Caenorhabditis elegans: one gene and its partner. The protein of the gene in region 1 interacts with the protein of each later gene in a pairwise test. Each region holds a gene or a part of one and is shown in the gene's direction. Other genes may lie near its edges.

The links. Proteins that work in one complex are often made in the same cells at the same time.
Region 2: the proteins of npp-19 (region 1) and eif-2Balpha interact in a two-hybrid assay, tested with the Caenorhabditis elegans proteins (one large-scale study listed by BioGRID).

The regions. Positions count from the first base shown.
Region 1 is NC_003280.10:10,796,100-10,800,132, reverse strand, and holds npp-19 (Nucleoporin NUP35), read left to right. Parts: upstream 1-1,653; 5' UTR 1,654-1,656; coding exon 1,657-1,730; intron 1,731-1,796; coding exon 1,797-1,870; intron 1,871-1,919; coding exon 1,920-2,192; intron 2,193-2,242; coding exon 2,243-2,634; intron 2,635-2,684; coding exon 2,685-2,869; intron 2,870-3,048; coding exon 3,049-3,115; intron 3,116-3,158; coding exon 3,159-3,239; 3' UTR 3,240-3,480; downstream 3,481-4,033. Other genes in the region: set-14 (SET domain-containing protein 14), read left to right, coding at 3,845-4,033.
Region 2 is NC_003281.10:9,541,229-9,544,911, forward strand, and holds eif-2Balpha (Translation initiation factor eIF2B subunit alpha), read left to right. Parts: upstream 1-1,890; 5' UTR 1,891-1,913; coding exon 1,914-2,028; intron 2,029-2,080; coding exon 2,081-2,346; intron 2,347-2,409; coding exon 2,410-2,591; intron 2,592-2,650; coding exon 2,651-2,852; intron 2,853-2,900; coding exon 2,901-3,053; 3' UTR 3,054-3,176; downstream 3,177-3,683. Other genes in the region: Exonuclease mut-7, read right to left, coding at 1-2, 50-866, 938-1,127; ZK1098.9 (uncharacterized protein), read left to right, coding at 3,223-3,364.

The DNA.
Region 1 (4,033 bases):
CACATTGCCGAAAAAAAAACGAATCGTTGCTATAATGTTCTTCCGCTAGTCTTCATAGATCCCGTTGCCAGGTGACCTCGTCTCCAAAAACTTTCTTAAATTTCGAAATCGGAGAATGTGTACTCCACGAGAAGAAGAGTGTGCGAAAATTGCAAATTTTGCAACCTCCGCACGGTTATGAGAATGAGAGCTCAATGAACCTTGCGGAGGTTGCAAAATCTGCAAGTTCCGCACGGTTATGTGGGTGTGGCCAATACCATCGTTTTCTATTCTCAATTTCTGTTATTACGTGGTAGTCTAAAGATGAAAGTTTTCGGGTCTCACCACGCTGAAATTGGGTTACTGTAACTGGACCAATATTGTGCCATTTTTAATATTATATTCAAATTCTTGACAGCAATTTTCGATTAAATCTGAAAATTATGATACTATGCTACCCGTAAATGGAGACGAGTTACAGTAACTCGGCGTGGCGAGACCTAAGATTTTACGAAATTTTCCCAATTTTGACGTCTACGTAATAATTCCCTCTATCCCAAAATTTGTTTTGTAACAGTACGGAAATTGTAATTTCCGTACGGTTTTATGGGAATCACAGTTTGAAAGTTTCAGTTCAAAAATCAAAATCTCATCTTCTAAGAGGCGGGGCGAAAACACCAAATTTGACGCGCAAGTTTGACTACATCATCAGGTCGCCACTTCTGCTCCAGTCAGAACCAACCACATTTTCTGAAAATAAATTACATCCGGTTCGGTCCGAAAACTAATATTAAATACAATTTTCATTCAATTCATCATCTTTTGGTTTTTTTTCTTTCTCATTTTGACCAACCCGCAAATATTATACGACACAGGGGGCTATATAGTCGTGCGCGACGAAACATTTTTCTTTCCCAAAAAAGGAATGAATTCTCATTTTATTTGATGAAGAGGCGGGAAGAAGCTCTCCGAACGTTGTGCTCTGTGTGGTCAACAAAAAAAGGTCGACGACACAGAAAAGGAATTTAATTAAATGGGGGACCCCGTCGTCGTGCATTTCTCAATTTTCTCCGTTTTTTTTTGCAATTAAAACGAGGAGGAGTGAGAAGAAACGAGTGGTGCTCGTTGAAATTTGAAAACGAAAATTAGACGAGGGAGTAGGTCAAAGGGAAATAAAAACAAAAACATCTGAAATGTGTAATTAAATTTCTAGAATTTTTTAGAATTCAATATTTTATGGATAGGTATGTACTATAGGGGTCGGCGGTATTATACAGTAACCCATACACGAATTTCACTTTTTTCAGTGTCTAGTGTTGAAGAAAAAAAATCAAAGTTCAAACAGAAAATCGACTTCATCAAAATTACAAAACATCCGATCAGAGAAAAAAAATTTTCTCTTTATTTCCCGCAGAAAACCTCCCAGCAAACTTTCACCACAAAAACCCTATTTTAAACTCCCTCCATTTTCAAGTCCGCAATTGCGCGTAGCTTTGCGTGTTTTGTCGTTGCGGACTTTGATTTTTCAAACAAAAATGTTTTTTCTTGGAACTTTTCGAACCTGTTTTCCACTTTAAAAAAGCGGTATTTTTCAATTCTTTCTTTATTTTAAATTTGAAAAACTTGTTTATTGCTTAAATTTTTAATTAAAAAGCATTTTATTTCGAAATTCAGGCCATGTTCTCGCATCTTAACCAAAATACATCCGGAAGGCATAACTCAATGGATCTCAACAATTCTAGTATTTCAAAGTGAGTAATTTGTTTCTTATTTTGCAAAAAAAAAACCAGTTTTTAATACTAAAAATCTAATTTTAGCTTCGGGACACCAGTTGAACAGTCTACGCCGGCACTTCTTTTCGGAAAGCGAAAGGCAACTGTTCCATCTTCGTGTAAGTAAAGTTTATCTTAAGTTTTCTCAAAAATATGATAATTATTTAGACACCGCTAGCCCGCTCAACACTGCATCGGCACCATGTTCGGATATTTTCGCTGTTTCTGCACCGGCAGTGCCGCAGCATTTGAAGGATACACCGGGCTCTAAATCAGTTCATTGGTCTCCATCTTTGGTGCAATCTGGTGAAAAGTCGGCGGCACAAACACAGAATACACCTGCCAACTTGTCTTTCGGAGGAAATTCATCATTTTCGGCGCCGACAAAGCCAGCTCCTCAGTCGATTCAGACATCATCTTTCGGTGGTCAAGCGATGCATGGTTAGAATTTACATTTTTTCGCGAATATTTAAAATAAAATTGATTTTCAGCACCACCTCTTCGATCTCTTCGCGACAAAGTTGAACCAGCGAAAAAGATCTCCAGACGAAATACATTCACTGCCAGATCAACACCACTTTCCACTCCAATCACTCAACGAGTCACATCCAGGTTGGCTGAAGCAGAAGAACAACCAATGGAAGAAGAAGCCGACGCAGCTGATACCTGGGTCACTGTTTTTGGATTTCAGCCAAGCCAAGTGTCGATTTTGTTGAATTTATTCTCGCGGCACGGGGAAGTAGTTAGTCATCAGACTCCATCAAAAGGAAACTTCATACATATGCGCTATTCGTGTGTCACACACGCTCAACAAGCTATTTCTCGAAACGGAACTCTCCTCGATCAGGATACATTTATTGGAGTCGTTCAGTGCACAAATAAGGTAAGTAAAAAGGATATATTTATTTTTTATTTTAATTTTAAAATTTACAGGACGTGATCAACGGCTCAGCATCCGGAATTGTTGCTCGATCATCTAACATTGCTGCAGCTGCAAACCGATCTGCTTCCATGTATAACTCATTTGTGGAGAACGATATGGCCGATCAATCAGTTAATCACAATGAGAACAGTGTGCTCAACTCGTCGAATGTTTTTGATGCAAATAACTCGCTCAAGTATGATTAGAAATTTTTAGTAAAAAATTCATAAAAATCTAAATTTTATACTTGAATCTGCTAAAGCGAAGTTTGTAGTTTGTAGTCTAGCGCTACTCCACTTTGAAAATGTGAAAAAGAAAAAGTTAATTTTTCACAATTCAATTAATATTTCCACAAAAAATTGTTTATGTTTTCAGTTCTTCTCGTATTTCCGTCCGTTCTGGTGTCGGAATGAGACCATTGGCTGCCGATCAAAGAACAAACGTAAGCATTTCATTGATTCAATCCTTCTAACCAATTAAAAAAGATTTTACAGGGAACCCCATCGGTTCGCAAGGCACCTGACGGATTGCTCAACAAGTTCTGGAACACGATCGGACTCAACTAATCTTTTTGCTCATTGGAAATATCGCCCATTTTTCTGTTTTATTTCACCATTTTTTTCTTTTGTTGTGTATCCTTCTTTTTCGAATTTCTGAAAACAGTTTCGTTTCTCACGGTTTTTCGTTCTCAAAATAATTTTATTTATTTCGGTGTATTCTCAATTTTCGGACATTTTTCCTTCCCTTCTTCCCGTCCATTCCATTCCCATTCAAAACTGATTCTATGAATTGAAATGAAGAAAACTCATATTTTTATATTGTCGATTATAGAAGACGAGTTGCTAATACTCGAAAAAAATATTTTTTCAAAAAATGAGGCTTTATTGACTGAAAAACATCGATTAAACAAATTCACTTCTATGAGTTTAAAGAAGGGCGCATTATTGCAGAATGGTCTCGGCACGAATGACATTGAAAATTGTGTGTGGGTGTGTGCCTTTAAAAATACTGTAGAGATTCTTTTATCGATTTTTCTCATTTTCTTCAATTTTTAATTTCAGAAAATTATTTACAATCGATGAAGTTTTTTTTAAATTTAATTTTTTTTATAAAATTTAATTTTAAAAAACCCGTTAAAAAAAAATTATTCAAATAATTCTTTCAGTTCCCAATGAATCTTCCCCCAGACGCCCTCCACGAAAATGTGTACGCATTTGCTCTTGCACGAGATCAAGTCGAATCATATTGTAATCAATGCCTTACGAGTATGGCAGAACTCAAAAAGTGCAGCGCCTGCCGACGGCTTGCTTATTGCTCACAAGAATGTCAAAGAGCTGACTGGAAGCTGCATAAAGTGGAG
Region 2 (3,683 bases), on another chromosome or scaffold:
TTCTGAAAATTGAATTTTAGAAAGAAAAATCTTTTTGAATGTCACTTACTGTTTCTCGGTGTCATTTGAGCTCCACAAGTAAAACAAAATAGGTTCACGAACATCTTCGGCTTTGGTAAAAGTTTCAACCATATGCTGGAAATAGTTGTCATCGGATTTTCCCTTCTCGTATCGTTCACTGATATTAAACTTCAATGCCTTCAGATTCCCATTCTGTGAGTGGTTTTTGGCGAACTTCGACAATTCCCTGGAGAAGTTGTATTCGTGAGTATTTTTGTTGATAATCGTCGAAATGAGTTTGTCCAACGTTTTTCCCGTCAATTTCTCCATAGGAATCGTCATAATTTTGGTTTCCTTGTAGGGTTTCAGCATCTCTTCAACGGCAACCACTGAGATTCCAACCATTCGATCAAAAAACTCTACAAGCTGCTGTTGCATCCTCTCATTGTTACTTATCAATTTATAAGCCGTTTGATCTTTGCCAGATAGCATTAATGGAAGAACAAGATGTTCGAAATGATGATCCCGTAGAAGATTGTACTGAATAGCCATATCTGCAGCAACGGAGAAGTCTTGTTTCTTGATGGCAGCATCTAGCAACTGTGTAATGTCCTCAGTGAATTTCTCTTTGGTGATATCGAAGATTTCACTGAGAAGCTGCTTTTGTCCAATTGTGCACACATCTAAGGCGTTTATTTGAATAGTTCCAGTCAGATATTTCTGTCTGAGCTCCGTCTCCTGTCCCGACTCTTTTAACCAAACTCCAAAATCCTCCAGATACCAAACCGCCAAACTTTGTCCCGATGTTTTTCCTCTATCCGGCATCGCTTTCATCATATCCACAGCCATTCCGTAGATGTTGACTCCTTTAAATGTATAGATTATGAATGAGGGTTTTTTAAAGTTTTTAATAATAAAAGAACTTTAAAATGTTTACCTGATCTATAGTCCTCGTTGAAAAATTCTCGATTTTTGGCTCGAACTTTTCTCTCCCGCTCAGACTCGGGTCCATTCATAATTGCTTTCAGAACTTCCCGGCGTGACTTCAACGGTTCGGCGTAGTCTGTTCGATATTTTGCCTTTTTCTCGGCTTTCGTTAGCTTTCTTTTGTACGGTTCTTCTTCCATTTTCGAAACGGACAAGCTTGATTCTGTAAAAAGTATAAATAAATATTTGTCGAAAAGTTAGTACAAAAGAAATTAATCAAAGAACAAGGAAAACGTGTTTCCCCACGAGAATTCGTATTACGGAGAGGAAAATCTAGAAACGGCCCAAAAACCGAAAGAACAACAGAAAAGCGTTGTGGATTATTCGATATCCAGCACTTTTTGCACAAATTGAGGCAAAAATAATGGAAAAAGAACCAAGAAATCAATGAACAAAATGGAAAATGAATTTTTAAAAAATTGTCGATGGTATTTAAGATGTGCAGGTTAGCGAATAGTACTGTATCACGGCGGCGATTCAAATGATCTACGAAGCAATTACACGAGGAAAATTAATGGAGATTATGGAGCAAATTGAGGGAATTAATTATAGTATAAAAGTTTCGAAAAGGAAAATTATTATTTATTATCCTATTTAGTTCGCCACACAATGGGAGATTTTAGATGCGTAAATAGTTGAGAGTAGAAAGTAAACTGACTGACTCAAAAAATATGTTTAAAATGTTTATTCGAGATTGAGAAAATAAATTAAATTTCACGAAACCTTTTAAATACATAAGTAAAAAAATGTTTTGTTTTTAAATTTGCCACTATCAAAACTGTCTAACTCTCTAACTCTTATCTTCTCTGCGTAACGATAGAGCGCGTTTACATCATTATTTTTTCATTAAATTTTTTCTATAAATATTTCTTCTTTCTACGACAAACGTTCTCCATTATTGTTTTTGCAGACTTTTTCCATCTAACATGGTTCAAGAAAGCATTATTTCATCTTTCCGTGGAAAACTTGAAAACGATCCAAGCAAATCAACGAGTCTAGCCACAGTGGAAACACTGCTCGAGGTTTTAGACCGGAGTCGCGGTAAGTTCCTGAATTTGAATATTTAGGCAATTAATTTTTTGCTTAATTACAGCCACCACCGTTGCCGAATTTCAAAATGAGCTAAATCAAGTAGTTGCTGCTCTCGAGAAAACGGACTACAGCTCAACATCAATTCGAAGTGCCGCTGATTTGTTCACCAGATTCACTTCTCTGGCTCCAGCTGCTCTTCTCGATCAAGAAGATTTTTCTCAAGTTCTTGATCTGTATCGCCAACGAGCACGCTCATTTATAAAGAATGTCAGAGGTTCTCGAGCCAAAATTTCCAAGTGCGCTCGTCTATTTTTCACTCATCATATGGTACGTTTTTTTTTCTATTTAAATAATTCCTATTTAATGTATTTTAATCTTTGTATTTTCTAGAATATTCTGACACACTCATACAGCAAAGTGGTTCTGGAAACTATTCTTGATGCTCACAAAAGTGGATATCACCTTCATGTCTGGGTCACCGAATCGCAACCGGATGCTTCAGGAAAACTAGTGTTTGAAGAATTGAAAAAGAATGGAGTTCCAACTACTTTAGTTCTAGATAGCTGTGTGGGGTGAGTGGAAATTATAAAAAACAATAAGAAAAACGTATATACATTTTTTATTTTTTAAGATATGTCATGGAAAGAATTCAAGCAGTTCTAGTTGGCGCTGAAGGAGTCATGGAAACCGGTGGAATCATCAATAAAATTGGAACTGTTAATGTTTGTATCATCGCAAAATCACGGCATGTTCCCGTCTATGTTTGCGCTGAAACTATCAAGTTTGTACGGGAGTTCCCACTCAACCAGGCCGATATTCCCCAAGAATTCAAAGTAATCAATTTATATCAAATAACTCAATCAGATCTTTCATTATTTCAGTATCGAACATCAGTAATTGAGAGAAACAACCTAGAATTGGAGCATCCCGATGTGGATTACACCGCACCCGAATTTCTGACACTGATCATTACTGATGTCGGCGCAATGAAGCCTGAAGCTGTTGGAGAAGAACTCATTAAAATGTATATCTGAGGGTAGAAATTTATTTGAACGTGTATTTAATTCAATCAAATTAAATTAATTTGTTCTTGTTTTGTTTTTTATAATTATGATTGGTTTTTTTCTTTTACAAAAATAAAAAATAACGTGGAACCCAAAACTATTCATTTCGAGTTTTTAAAAACGCTCATTCATCAAAAAGATGAGTGAAAAGCACTTTATTTTGCCATCTAGCATGCTAATGATAGTTTCGGCTGTCTTCGGAGGTATCGGAATCATCACTACAATCGTGTTCGTGATTCTGACAGTTCTTCATTCAAAAAGTGCGGTTTGTAAACCTGCAGGTTAGTTTTTGTTGCGAAATTGTGCAATTTTTACCCAGAAAGTACGGTTCCCGGTCTCGACGCTACAATTGTTAAATTCTGAAAGGTGTGTGCCTTTAAAGTGTACTGTACTTCGAATTTTTAGACTTTTATTAGTTTTTCGATATTTAAATATTTATTTATTTATCTGAAACTATGAAAAATCGATGCAAATTCCATAACAACGAAAATCTGAAATTACAGTACTCTTTAAAGGCGCACACCTCTTTGGATCTATCAAAAACTTTGCCGTATCGAGACCGGGTATCGTATTAGCATGACGAAAATCGCAAAATTATCT